Linked DNA regions of Bombyx mori. The protein of the gene in region 1 binds, or shares a complex with, the protein of each later gene. Links are inferred from orthologs where the notes say so. Each region holds a gene or a part of one and is shown in the gene's direction. Other genes may lie near its edges.

The links. Proteins that work in one complex are often made in the same cells at the same time.
Region 2: GATOR2 complex protein WDR59 (region 1) and GATOR complex protein NPRL3 share a complex: the UniProt entries of both Drosophila melanogaster proteins name them as parts of the GATOR complex. The link is inferred for Bombyx mori from reciprocal best matches to the Drosophila melanogaster genes Wdr59 and Nprl3.
Region 3: GATOR2 complex protein WDR59 (region 1) and sec13-like protein share a complex: the UniProt entries of both Drosophila melanogaster proteins name them as parts of the GATOR complex. The link is inferred for Bombyx mori from reciprocal best matches to the Drosophila melanogaster genes Wdr59 and Nup44A.

What each region holds. Positions count from the first base shown.
Region 1 is NC_085110.1:13,179,662-13,183,161, forward strand, and holds part of GATOR2 complex protein WDR59, read left to right. Parts: coding exon 1-100; intron 101-921; coding exon 922-1,290; intron 1,291-2,481; coding exon 2,482-2,635; intron 2,636-3,189; coding exon 3,190-3,373; intron 3,374-3,500. UniProt on the Drosophila melanogaster protein: A component of the GATOR complex, which functions as a regulator of the amino acid-sensing branch of the mTORC1 signaling pathway.
Region 2 is NC_085124.1:9,506,880-9,510,379, reverse strand, and holds part of GATOR complex protein NPRL3, read left to right. Parts: intron 1-602; coding exon 603-819; intron 820-1,308; coding exon 1,309-1,463; intron 1,464-1,809; coding exon 1,810-1,941; intron 1,942-2,714; coding exon 2,715-2,879; intron 2,880-3,412; coding exon 3,413-3,500. UniProt on the Drosophila melanogaster protein: An essential component of the GATOR subcomplex GATOR1 which functions as an inhibitor of the amino acid-sensing branch of the TORC1 signaling pathway.
Region 3 is NC_085125.1:13,435,909-13,439,573, forward strand, and holds the end of sec13-like protein, read left to right. Parts: intron 1-355; coding exon 356-514; intron 515-1,780; coding exon 1,781-1,941; intron 1,942-2,993; coding exon 2,994-3,136; 3' UTR 3,137-3,165; downstream 3,166-3,665. UniProt on the Drosophila melanogaster protein: Probable component of the nuclear pore complex (NPC). Involved in maintaining the localization of another nucleoporin Mgtor to the nuclear envelope of early meiotic female germline cells.

The sequences.
Region 1 (3,500 bases):
GATACTGCAAAGCATTAATAGAACTGCTTATCGTAAAAAGAAAGAAGGACACAGATGTTTGTTACATTGTTTAAAAACATTAGCAAAGTCAATTGATGAGGTGAGTTTCAGAACACTTATAATTATTGTGTTTTTTTATCCAGGGTTTTCAGAAACCGTTTTTGTTTCTCTTCGGTAAATATTCTAATACACCCTGTATATACATAAACAAAGAAATAGAAGATATACAAATTATACAAATAACCATTGAACAAACTAAGCTTAGATTTTTTTAATGCTTAGATGGGTATAACATATACAACGAAAATGCCTCCACCCACCTTGAGACATGAGTTTTAAGATTTCCCAGTTTTTACAGTACAACGGCTGCCTCACCCTTCAAACCGAAACCACTGCTTCACGACAGAAACAGGTGGGGTGGTTGTCCGTGCGGACTCACAAGATGTCCTCCTACCACCAGTTATTACATATTTTTTTAATTGGCCGGTTTAATTTTATTACACGATGTTATTCCCGATGATATTATGATATTATTCACCGTGGAAGTATTTCGTGAACATTTGTCAAGTACGTATAATATTTTATTAGAAAAGTTAGTACCTGACTACGCGGGATTCGAACAGCGTTGCATCGCACCGATACGAATGCACCGGACGTCTGTGTGCTTAGTGCGAGTTTTTTAACGTTCTCGATAGCGTAAAAGTTAGCTCATAAATATGGCTCATAAGTATGGAATGGAATCGTTTGCGTACGTTTGCCGTTGGGCGCTGTTCCAACTGCATACAAAATTGGTTTAACTTTTACGCTATCGAGAACGTTAAGAAACTCGCACTAAGCACTCTTATCCTTTAGGCCACGACGTCTTCATGTTCACTGTGTGATTTCTTATCTAGTACTAAGAAATTTATTCACTTGTTTTAGATACCCGTGAAGAATGACGACACAGACTCGATGAAATCGAGTCAAAGAAGTCAGTCGGAGTGTGAGAATGCAGGCGATTCGTGTATTCCTTTCCCTCGAACATGCGGGGCTAAGTGGTGCGGTGTTAGTACGTTAGTGGTATTCAACCGTCCCCCGAACACCAGGAGGCTGTCATTGAAGCACGAGACTGGAACACCTCGGTCAATGTCATCGTTATCCTTGATGCCGGGTTTATTCAACACCGGCTACAGTTCTGTGTCGCCTCACGCCACCACGACTCCGTCGCCGACGAACCCGCCGGGCTTCCCGCAATTACATCACAAGCACCCGTCCTATTCAATCACAACGTTCTATTTTCAAGATCGATGGGTAAGTACAGTATTTTAAATGAAAGATCATGTTTGTGTGTGTGTGTGTGTTTGCAAGAACACGATTGTGTGTTTTTTGTTGATAGGTAGAAAGTATTAACCTCCCCTTTCAGAAGGAAATATCGAAAAATTGCCCGAGTAAGGTAGTGTTTGAATCAATGAATGAAAATTTGAGTTTATGTTAATAGTGTGTGTAACCAACAGTAAAATGTATTTTAGAATAATACTACCAACTGTATGACCACAAAAAAACATTGTTTAATTTATCGATGTGACACAACACTATGCTTTTTTTTTTGAAGTGAAACTTCTTTATGCGCGTTGAGAGTAAAATTTAACTCGCGACAGATTCGTTACGGCTAGAGAGAAAAGATACAATTTAGAAAGAGCGAGAGTGAGAAAATAGAGCGTCTCTCGAGCCACTCGAATGTGGAGAGTGGGAAAGGACAAAGCGAACTAGGTCGTTTCTCTTATACACAGCATTCCCTATTACAAGATAAATTTGATTTAAGGATGAAAAATGAAGAAAACCACTATACTACACACCGTAACAGAAGTTTCATTTCTTTCACGTGCACCAAGGCGCACCATTTTCTTTTTTGTTCTTCCCCGTTCAAATCGCGCGCCACACATTAGCAGATGATTTTCACCGATGGTAGAGCATATTTTATAAAGAGTTGGTATCACGTTCCTGCCTATTTCTGCAACTAAGCAATCCTGCACTTTGGTTTGATTTGTGGCGCTATCATTATATATAAGTAATACAAATGACAACTCGGTCTCATATTTCGACGTGGCTGGTTGCGTTTACATCGTCATTATACTACTTTTACTGGTGGCAGGACCTTTTGAGTCCGCACGTGTAGGTACCACCACCCTGCCTATTTCTGCCGTGAAGCAGTAATGCGTTTCGGTTCGAAGGCTGGGGCAGCCGTTGTAACTATACTTGAGACCTTAGAACTTATATGTCAAGGTTGGTGGCGCATTTACGTTGTAGATGTCTATGGGCTTCAGTAACTTAACACCAGATGGGCTGTGAGCTCGTCCACCCATCTAAGCAATAAAAAAAAAACACAAGGATTCATGTAATTACGTAACACTAGGTGGGCCGTGAGACTCATCGATGCAAAAAAAACTTTATAGAATAAGTATGTGCGGTGAAATACATTAAGACGTTTGAAGTCCGTTGCAGAAGGCACAAGGTCGCCGCGCGGGCAGCATCCGCAGTCGCGGAAGTATATCCGGGTGCTCATCGCCTAGAGTGGTACTGTATGCTGCGACAGATCTCTTCCCACTTAATCGTACTCTTGCTGAAAAATACGTAATTAATTCTGATAATCCGATCGGTAAGTCTTGATATTGGTTTTAGAAATACCCTATAGTATTGGAACCTAAATTCAGCACGAATAATTGTCACTTTAATAAATCGTCGTTATCAAAATCTGCTATGTGCGAAAACTATTTTGAATTAACAAGTAAAAACATTTTCGTATAATTTTTTATATGAAGGTAAATTTTTAAGAACTATATATATCAAATGAAAGGTATAGATAAATATTAAAGCTATAGACACATAGCAGTTTTTTTTATACGGTGATAGAGCTGTGAACTATACGAAAAGGTCAAAAAGTAAAAATCTCAATAAGTGCACATAGCAGGTTTTGGTTTAACAACGACGAAATTCATATTTTGCGAGCCGCCTTACACCCGCGACGCAGCCGACGTGTGTCTCAACTCTAATAGAGTCAGCACTATTGATATCCAGCTGAAAAAATTACCAAATGTCTAAATCATAAAGATATATTTAGTGATTTTAATTATTTCCGTAAATGATTGAATGGTATGATTTAAAAAAAAAAAACTCACTCCGATTTTTTCTTTGTTTTATGTCTTCAAACAGACATGTGCGAAACAAACGCTAAAGTGGCAACGGAAGAAGGAGAACGTGACCTCGCGCACGCCTGGTCTCTGGCCGCGCTTACCGCTAAAGCTCTGAAAGCGAAAGTTGTCGATCATCTGACTTCCAGCGAAGAAAGCATGGGCTGGGTTGGACATCCTCTGTGCTGTAATCTACTGCAATCCTTGTGAGTACCCAAAAATCGATAATATTAAAGTATAAATTATAATAGTGACATAACTTGTCCCATCCCTAGTACGATTGTCAACATAACGCTTAATACCTTAATTCTTGTGAAATGGGTGAATCGTGAC
Region 2 (3,500 bases), on another chromosome or scaffold:
GTCGAACGAAGAAGACATGAATGGAGTGTGTGAATGGAAGATATGAGAGAGAGAGAGAGAGAGAGGAACGGAGTGAGTGTTGAGATGAGGACTGATAGAAGAGAATTGAATAGAACCATTCTCTTTGCCGACCCAGCGTTGTGGAGACAAAAAAGATTTTGTTTCGTTGTTGCATTTTTGAAGTTGTCGTGGCCTAAAGGATAAGAAGGTCTTCGAATACCGCAGGCAAGTACCAATTTTTCTAATGATATACGTACTTAACAAATCTTTACGATTGACTACTACAGTGAAGGAATAACATTGTGTAATAAAAATCAAACCCCAAATATTATAACTTGCGTAATTACTGGTGGTAGGACGTCTTGTGAGTCCGCACGGGTAGGTATCACCACCCTGCCTATTTTTACCGTGAAGCAGTAATGCATTTCGGTTTGAAGGGTGGGGTAGCTATTGTACTGTAAAATCAGACCTTTCGTACTCAATATATGGCTTTATTTACGTTGTAGATGTCTATGAGCTCCGGTAACCTCTTAACACCAGGTGGACCGTGGGCTCGTCCACCAACTGAAGCTATAAAAATTTTTTTTTTCATATTTTTACAGCTAGCTGCTCATGATGAAGTGAATGAGAGGAACGACAGTGAAATTAATGGTGATAATGAAGAAGAGGAAGAGAATCTCCGACATTCTGTTAGTTCTACAACATATAGTGTAGATAATGGCCTTGAGGGAGGCCCAATGTCTGCCTACCACTTAATATTACAAAGGAGTTCATTAGCTAGGTCCATGAAATCTGTCTTTGAGGAACTAAGTAGCACAGGTTAAACACTTTTCTTAAAATATAACATATCTAGACTAAATTTTACTGGTGGGCCTAGTACAATAAACTTTTGTACTAGGCCTACATGGTATTAAGTGGTTACTGGAATTGAAAAACTTCACAGTCTGAATGTTGCCCTTGAAATACCCTCGCTTTTATGATATGAGACATGTCTCGACTATATGTATAGTATAACAGCTGGTCTTCTCTTCGAACCGAAATTAATTATGGCTTTGCAGCAAATAAAAGCAGGGTGCTGGTAACCGCACAGACTCATCAGAACATGTTATGTGCGTATTGCAACGATTAATATCTGTCTGTGTAATTTGCACACCATAATGGTCAAGTCGCACTATATAAGTACACCAGACGCCCTTTCCATTTAAGTCACGACAACATCATACCTAATTAGTAACAAGTGATTCTGATAACTTGGTTTAAATACAAAAACAATTTAGATATGAAATTAGCTTTTGCTTTAATTTTCAGGCATAGTTCAAGTACGTGTAAATAAATGGGTGCTTCTATCCTTCTGTTTGCCCCACAAAGCCCATCAAATTCACAACAGAGGATTGATAATAGAACCGGAAACAATAGACAAATGTTTGCAAAAACTGAGGCCATACCACGGCATGCTACTACTTGTAAGTAATCAAATATACATACAACTTTTTTAGTGTTTATGAATATTGAAAATTTTAAACATAAAAGAAAAGTGACTTCAACAAATTAAAATGAGAATATTATCAAAATAGTAGAACACAAGTTTTTTATTTATTTTATTGCCCTTGTAGGCAGACGGGCATACAGACCACCTGATGGTGAGTGGCTACCGTCGCCCATGGAATTTAGTAATGCCAGGGGCAGAGCCAAGCCGCTGCCTACTGCTTAATACTCTTCTCAATAATGTTTTCCGTTACTACATTTGACGTTTCTAATATAAGAACTGTATCCTTGTACTAGTGAATTGTTTTGTTAATTTACTTTAAGGTGAATCCAAATGATTTGTTGGCGTCGATACCACTGGATGGCAGCTCTGCATTGCTGCGACTTATTAAACTATATAGCCCTCTAAAAAGTCTTCAAACACTGGCCATAGAAGCGGATCTGACATTCAAACAGGTATAAACAGTATAAATCCATAAATAAGTCAAAATTTTATTATTTTTAAGGTTCTTTTAGATTAAAAGGAAGTCTAAAAAGCAAGTTGGTTTAAGAAATTCAATATGAGCTAAATTTCTCATTATTTTATAATCAATAATCAAATCAATAATGTATACATATAACAGGGTTCTGTGACTATTTACTCTAACTAAACTAGTCTTATCTAGTAATTAACATACATATTGTGTACATGTCATTTGTATGTTTCAATGAATACTCTCGGAATAAAATAATTATAATTGATATAAAAGGATGCATAAGCACAATTAGCGGTTCGTGTTTTGAGTACTTAAAAGCAAAGTGATTGGTAAAAAATGATAATCACATAGTGATATGATACGGCCTTCTTCAAGGCTTAAATATAAACATGGCTGGTCGGTAATGGCTTGGTGGTGTCTGTACCGTTGCTGATGTCCATGAACGACAATGGTGACTACTCAGTATCAAGTGGGTCATAAAATCGATGCCGTTCATACCTGTACAAAAATAAAAACCAAAATTAATTACCTTTTACAACCCTTCACTTCAATTTCTATCACTTACATATTAAAACTTTAAATTAAATTTTTTAAACTGTTCTGTACCCTAAAATAATATTTGCGTAGTATTTAAAGGGACAATGAATACCAATCTTTAAATAAAAAAGTAAACCAAACTAAGCTAGCTCTATGAGCGACAATAATATTTCGTTTCAGGTTTAATTGTGTAAAATGTTTTTCGAATTATTCTAGGTCTCTCAACTAACTGGACATTTAGTGTATTGGGCTAAAGCGACGGTGATCTATCCATTGTGCGAAGGGAATGTATACGTTGTGGCCCCCGGCGCGAATATTCACATACATTCACCTCTTGTCGATGAATTCGCCAAGGAGTTTCCTGGGCTATGTTTATTGCAAGTATGAGACATTCATTATTTTCTTTACGCACTATAATTTATAAAGGAATTAAAGTATCACAAAAATATAATTGTTCAATAGAAACTTACTTATGCTCGCTCACCCTATAATGATGAAAATTGACAATAATCACAGACAAGATTTTCGATTATCGATTTTAGATTTCGATTTTAATTTTTAAACGGAATTTTAAAAACTGAATATCCCAAAAAATAATGACAATAAACCTCGACAATTGCTACTAAAACGAAAGAAAGTTTAACTGACTGACTCGGTGGTGCAGTGGTTAGTGGTCCTGACTGTTGCGCTGAGGGTCGTGGGTTCTATTCCCACATCGGGCAAACATTGTGTGATGAACAAGTTGTTGGCTCTTTGTCTGTTTGATTGTGAGTGGTTAACGTCGCCCATGAACTTTAGCAATGTCAGGGACAGAGCCAAGCCGCTGCCTACCAATTAATTACCTACTATTATTATTACATTTAAAAAAATATCTGTGTTTAGTCATTTTATTTACGTTATTTCTGTATTTGCAGATGCTCAGTGAGTTCTCTCTGCCGGCTCCGCTGTGGTACATATCGCGGAGCGCGGGCGGCGGGTGCGGGGGCTCGGCGCGGCTGGCCC
Region 3 (3,665 bases), on another chromosome or scaffold:
CAGCCCACTGAGTTTCTCGCCGGATCTTCTCAGTGGGTCGCGTTTCCGATCCGGTGGTAGATTCTGCGAAGCACGGCTCTTGCTAGGGTTCGTGTTAGCAACGTCATCAGGTTTCAGCCCCGTGAGCTCACCTACTAGTTAAGGCGAAGCTGATATAGCCTCTCAAGGCTATCAGATTAGGTGGGAAAAAATAAATAAATATGCAGGCTTATCTTGAAAATGTCGTAAGCCAGATTCAGGCATCTAGCAAATATCTTGTGTTCTGTGATGGCTACCCGCCACAATGGTACCGCTGTGTACGTAATAAAAACTCTTATGAAGCTAAACAAAAAAAATTAATTAAATTTGTGTTCAGATACAGTGAAACGTCTCGTCGTTGGACGCGAACGGACTGTCTGTCATCCGTCCAGGAGCCGGTCAACGACCTCGCCTTCGCTCCGAACCTCGGCCGCTCGTTCCATCTCCTCGCCGTAGCCGCCAAGGACCTGAGAATCATTAAAATCGAACCACTTTCGTGAGTACTTTATTATCTTGTCATTGACATGACTACAGATGATGCAAAGTGTAAAATTTCCGTTAAAATTCACAGAAGGGCCGGTAAGCATATCGACGCTTGAAAGGCAAACGTGACTAAGCGACAATAACTGCTTTGTACATAAATGATAGGCAATAACCGTATTCAATGCGCAAAAAATATATATTACTAGGTCTATTAAAATAATTTCAATCCTACAGCTAGATTCGTTAAAATAGATTTTTTTTCAGGTATTTCAACTTTAAATTAGTCTACTGTAAAGTTCACGCATTGTCGCTTAGTCATGTTTGCCTTTCAAGCGTCGATATGATGATAAGGTACCGTTTGAAAAATATGGTTCATTTCTGCGGCACTATAAACAGAACACCAGCCCGATGGTCAGATCTGGTTCAGAAAGTGGTTGGTGGTAGTGAGAAAGAGAGAGAGAGAAAGAGAGAGAGAGAAAGAGAGAGAGAGAAAGAGAGAGAGAGAAAGAGAGAGAGAGAAAGAGAGAGAGAGAAAGAGAGAGAGAGAAAGAGAGAGAGAGAAAGAGAGAGAGAGAAAGAGAGAGAGAAAGAGAGAGCGAGAAAGAGAGAGAGAGAGAAAGAGAGAGAGAGAAAGAGAGAGAGAGAAAGAGAGAGAGAGAAAGAGAGAGAAAGAGAGAGAGAGAATACACTTTATTGCACACCAAAACACAATTTACATTAAAAAACGGTCAAAAAGCAGATAGATTTGTAACAATAGGCTAAAATCGATCTCTTCGAGACAATCGTTTAACTTAGAGAAATTCTGGAAAATATAAAAATATAGCAGGTATGTTAGTCTATAACCATGCGGTCCATGTCATCTACGACCAAACACTATGGAGGAAAGTAACATGTGGTCACGATCTTTAGCGGTGAGGGAACGATGAAGACAGAATAAATATTGCATTACTTTTGAGCACTTTTTTTATTGCATAGATAGGTGGACGAGCTCACAGCCCACCTGGGGTTAAGTAGTTACCGGAGCCCATAGACATCTACAACGTAAATGCGCCACCCACCTTGAGATATAAGTTCTAAGGTCTCAAGTATAGTTACAGCGGCTGCCCCACACTTCAAACCGAAACGCATTACTGCTTCACGACAGAAATAGGCGGAGTGGTGGTACCTACCCGTGCGGACTCACAAGAGGTCCTACCACCAGTAAAACTTCATTACGTGTATTCTATTTAGTTTGCATTCGTTGGAATATAACATTTAAATTATTATTGTGACGTCACAGTGAATCGTCTATCTCCGCGAACGGTTTGGGCGTGCGGTTCAAGAGTGAAGTAATGGCGGCCTTCGACGAGCACTACTCGTGCGTGTGGAGGGTGTCGTGGAACCCCACCGGGACTCTGCTGGCCTCGTCGGGGGACGACAGCTGCGTCAGACTATGGAATAGTAAGGAATGATAATAACCATGTCAATTGTTCAGTATAATTAAATTTTACTCGATTTCATATCTATTCCAGATGTATAGTTTCCTAAGATATATTCTTCGATCATCGAATGTAGAGTTGTAAACGAATGGTATGATATCAAGTAGTTTTTAAGGATGGGACAACCATTGCAATACAATTGAGAGTTAGACCTCCTTGGGTCAATAAGTGAAATGTTCACTTTGAACTTCTTTGTCTACGGTATGACTCACTGACATATGGCATTGTTTGAGATGATTCCGTTGTATGCCATAGTCAGAGTACATCCCTATTGAGTTGCCGGAATTCATTCTTGATTCTTTTGATGTATTTTCAAATGAGGTGTGTGAAAGCAGTTCTGTGCTGAAGGTTGCGGCTTAGCTGTGCCGTTATTTAACCCACAGACACAGCCCACTGAGTTTCTCGCCGGATCTTCTCAGTGGGTCGCGTTTCCGATCCGGTGGTAGATGCTGCGAGGCACGGCTCTTGCAAGGGTTCGTGTTAGCAACGTCGTCAGGTTTGAGCCCCGTGAGCTCACCTACTAGTTAAGGTTACGCTGAAATAGCCTCTCAAGGCTCTCAGCTTAGGTAGGAAAAAAAAGATTCGTGGTGTCGTGGGACACCGGATAGGAACGAAGTTCCTTATTATAAAAATATTAATTTTAAGTTCTATTCGAGGTATAAAGAAAATAAAACTGGAGGTTTCGCAACAACCCACGGTCATTCGGTAACGTGCGAACTTATTGTGGTACACTTCATTCACGGTTGTTTGTATAAGAGTTAGTGTATTGCGCAAACGAATGCTCTCAGATTGTGGTCAATTAATGACTACAAAAATTGTTATTTTTTGTACGTTATTACAAAGTTAAGTCGTACACTGTGTGCATTACTAATAAAAATCTTACGTTACGGACGTTTTTTCCCGGTTAGGGTACCCTTCCGCATCGTCCCATAATGAAGTTCGTTCCAAAAAAAAAAGCCGTTATTATTACTGATGTGTTGGGACTGGCCAAGTAACGGTTATTGGTTTTTACAGTGCAATACTTGAATCAGTGGAAGTGCGTGGCCGTGTTCAAGAATGAGACGGTGGGCGGAGACAGCGCGCCCGCCGCCCGCGCGCACACCGCCTACACGCGCCTCGCCGCCATGGCCAACCCCGCGCACATGCCCGTGCACTGACGCGACAAGAGGTGAGTGTCATTTTTTTTTCTCCTACCTACGCCGAAAGTTCAGTTTTCCTCCCGCTGTACAGGGAAGAAAGTGTAACTTTTCCTCTCTAGTTACTGACAAGTGCGCATGCGCGTTAGTGTCTACGTCTGCTCTCACGCACCTAAAATTCTCCGCCATTGTTGTGCTCGGGTAATTTGCAATATTGTGTTTAGTGTAAAAGTGAAATAAACAAAAGGCAATAAAATTTAATACTGAAGTATTAAACAAAGATGAGTTCATCAGACAGTTCTTATTCAATTAGTAGTAGTTTATTTAAAAATTAAAAAACAGTTAATTTTCTTTTTTTACGAGTATGGGGGGGCTCCGCCCCCCCTACCCCCTGCCAGGGCTTCGCCCCTGGACCCCGGCTCGGTACTCCACGAACTTTCGGCCTGGTAGGAGAAAAAATAGTATGAGCACCGCGGGAAAAAAGTAGGACATCTCATCCCGCGTGTTTGCAATTTTGGTGCACAATGTACTATATTTTTATTGCTTAGAT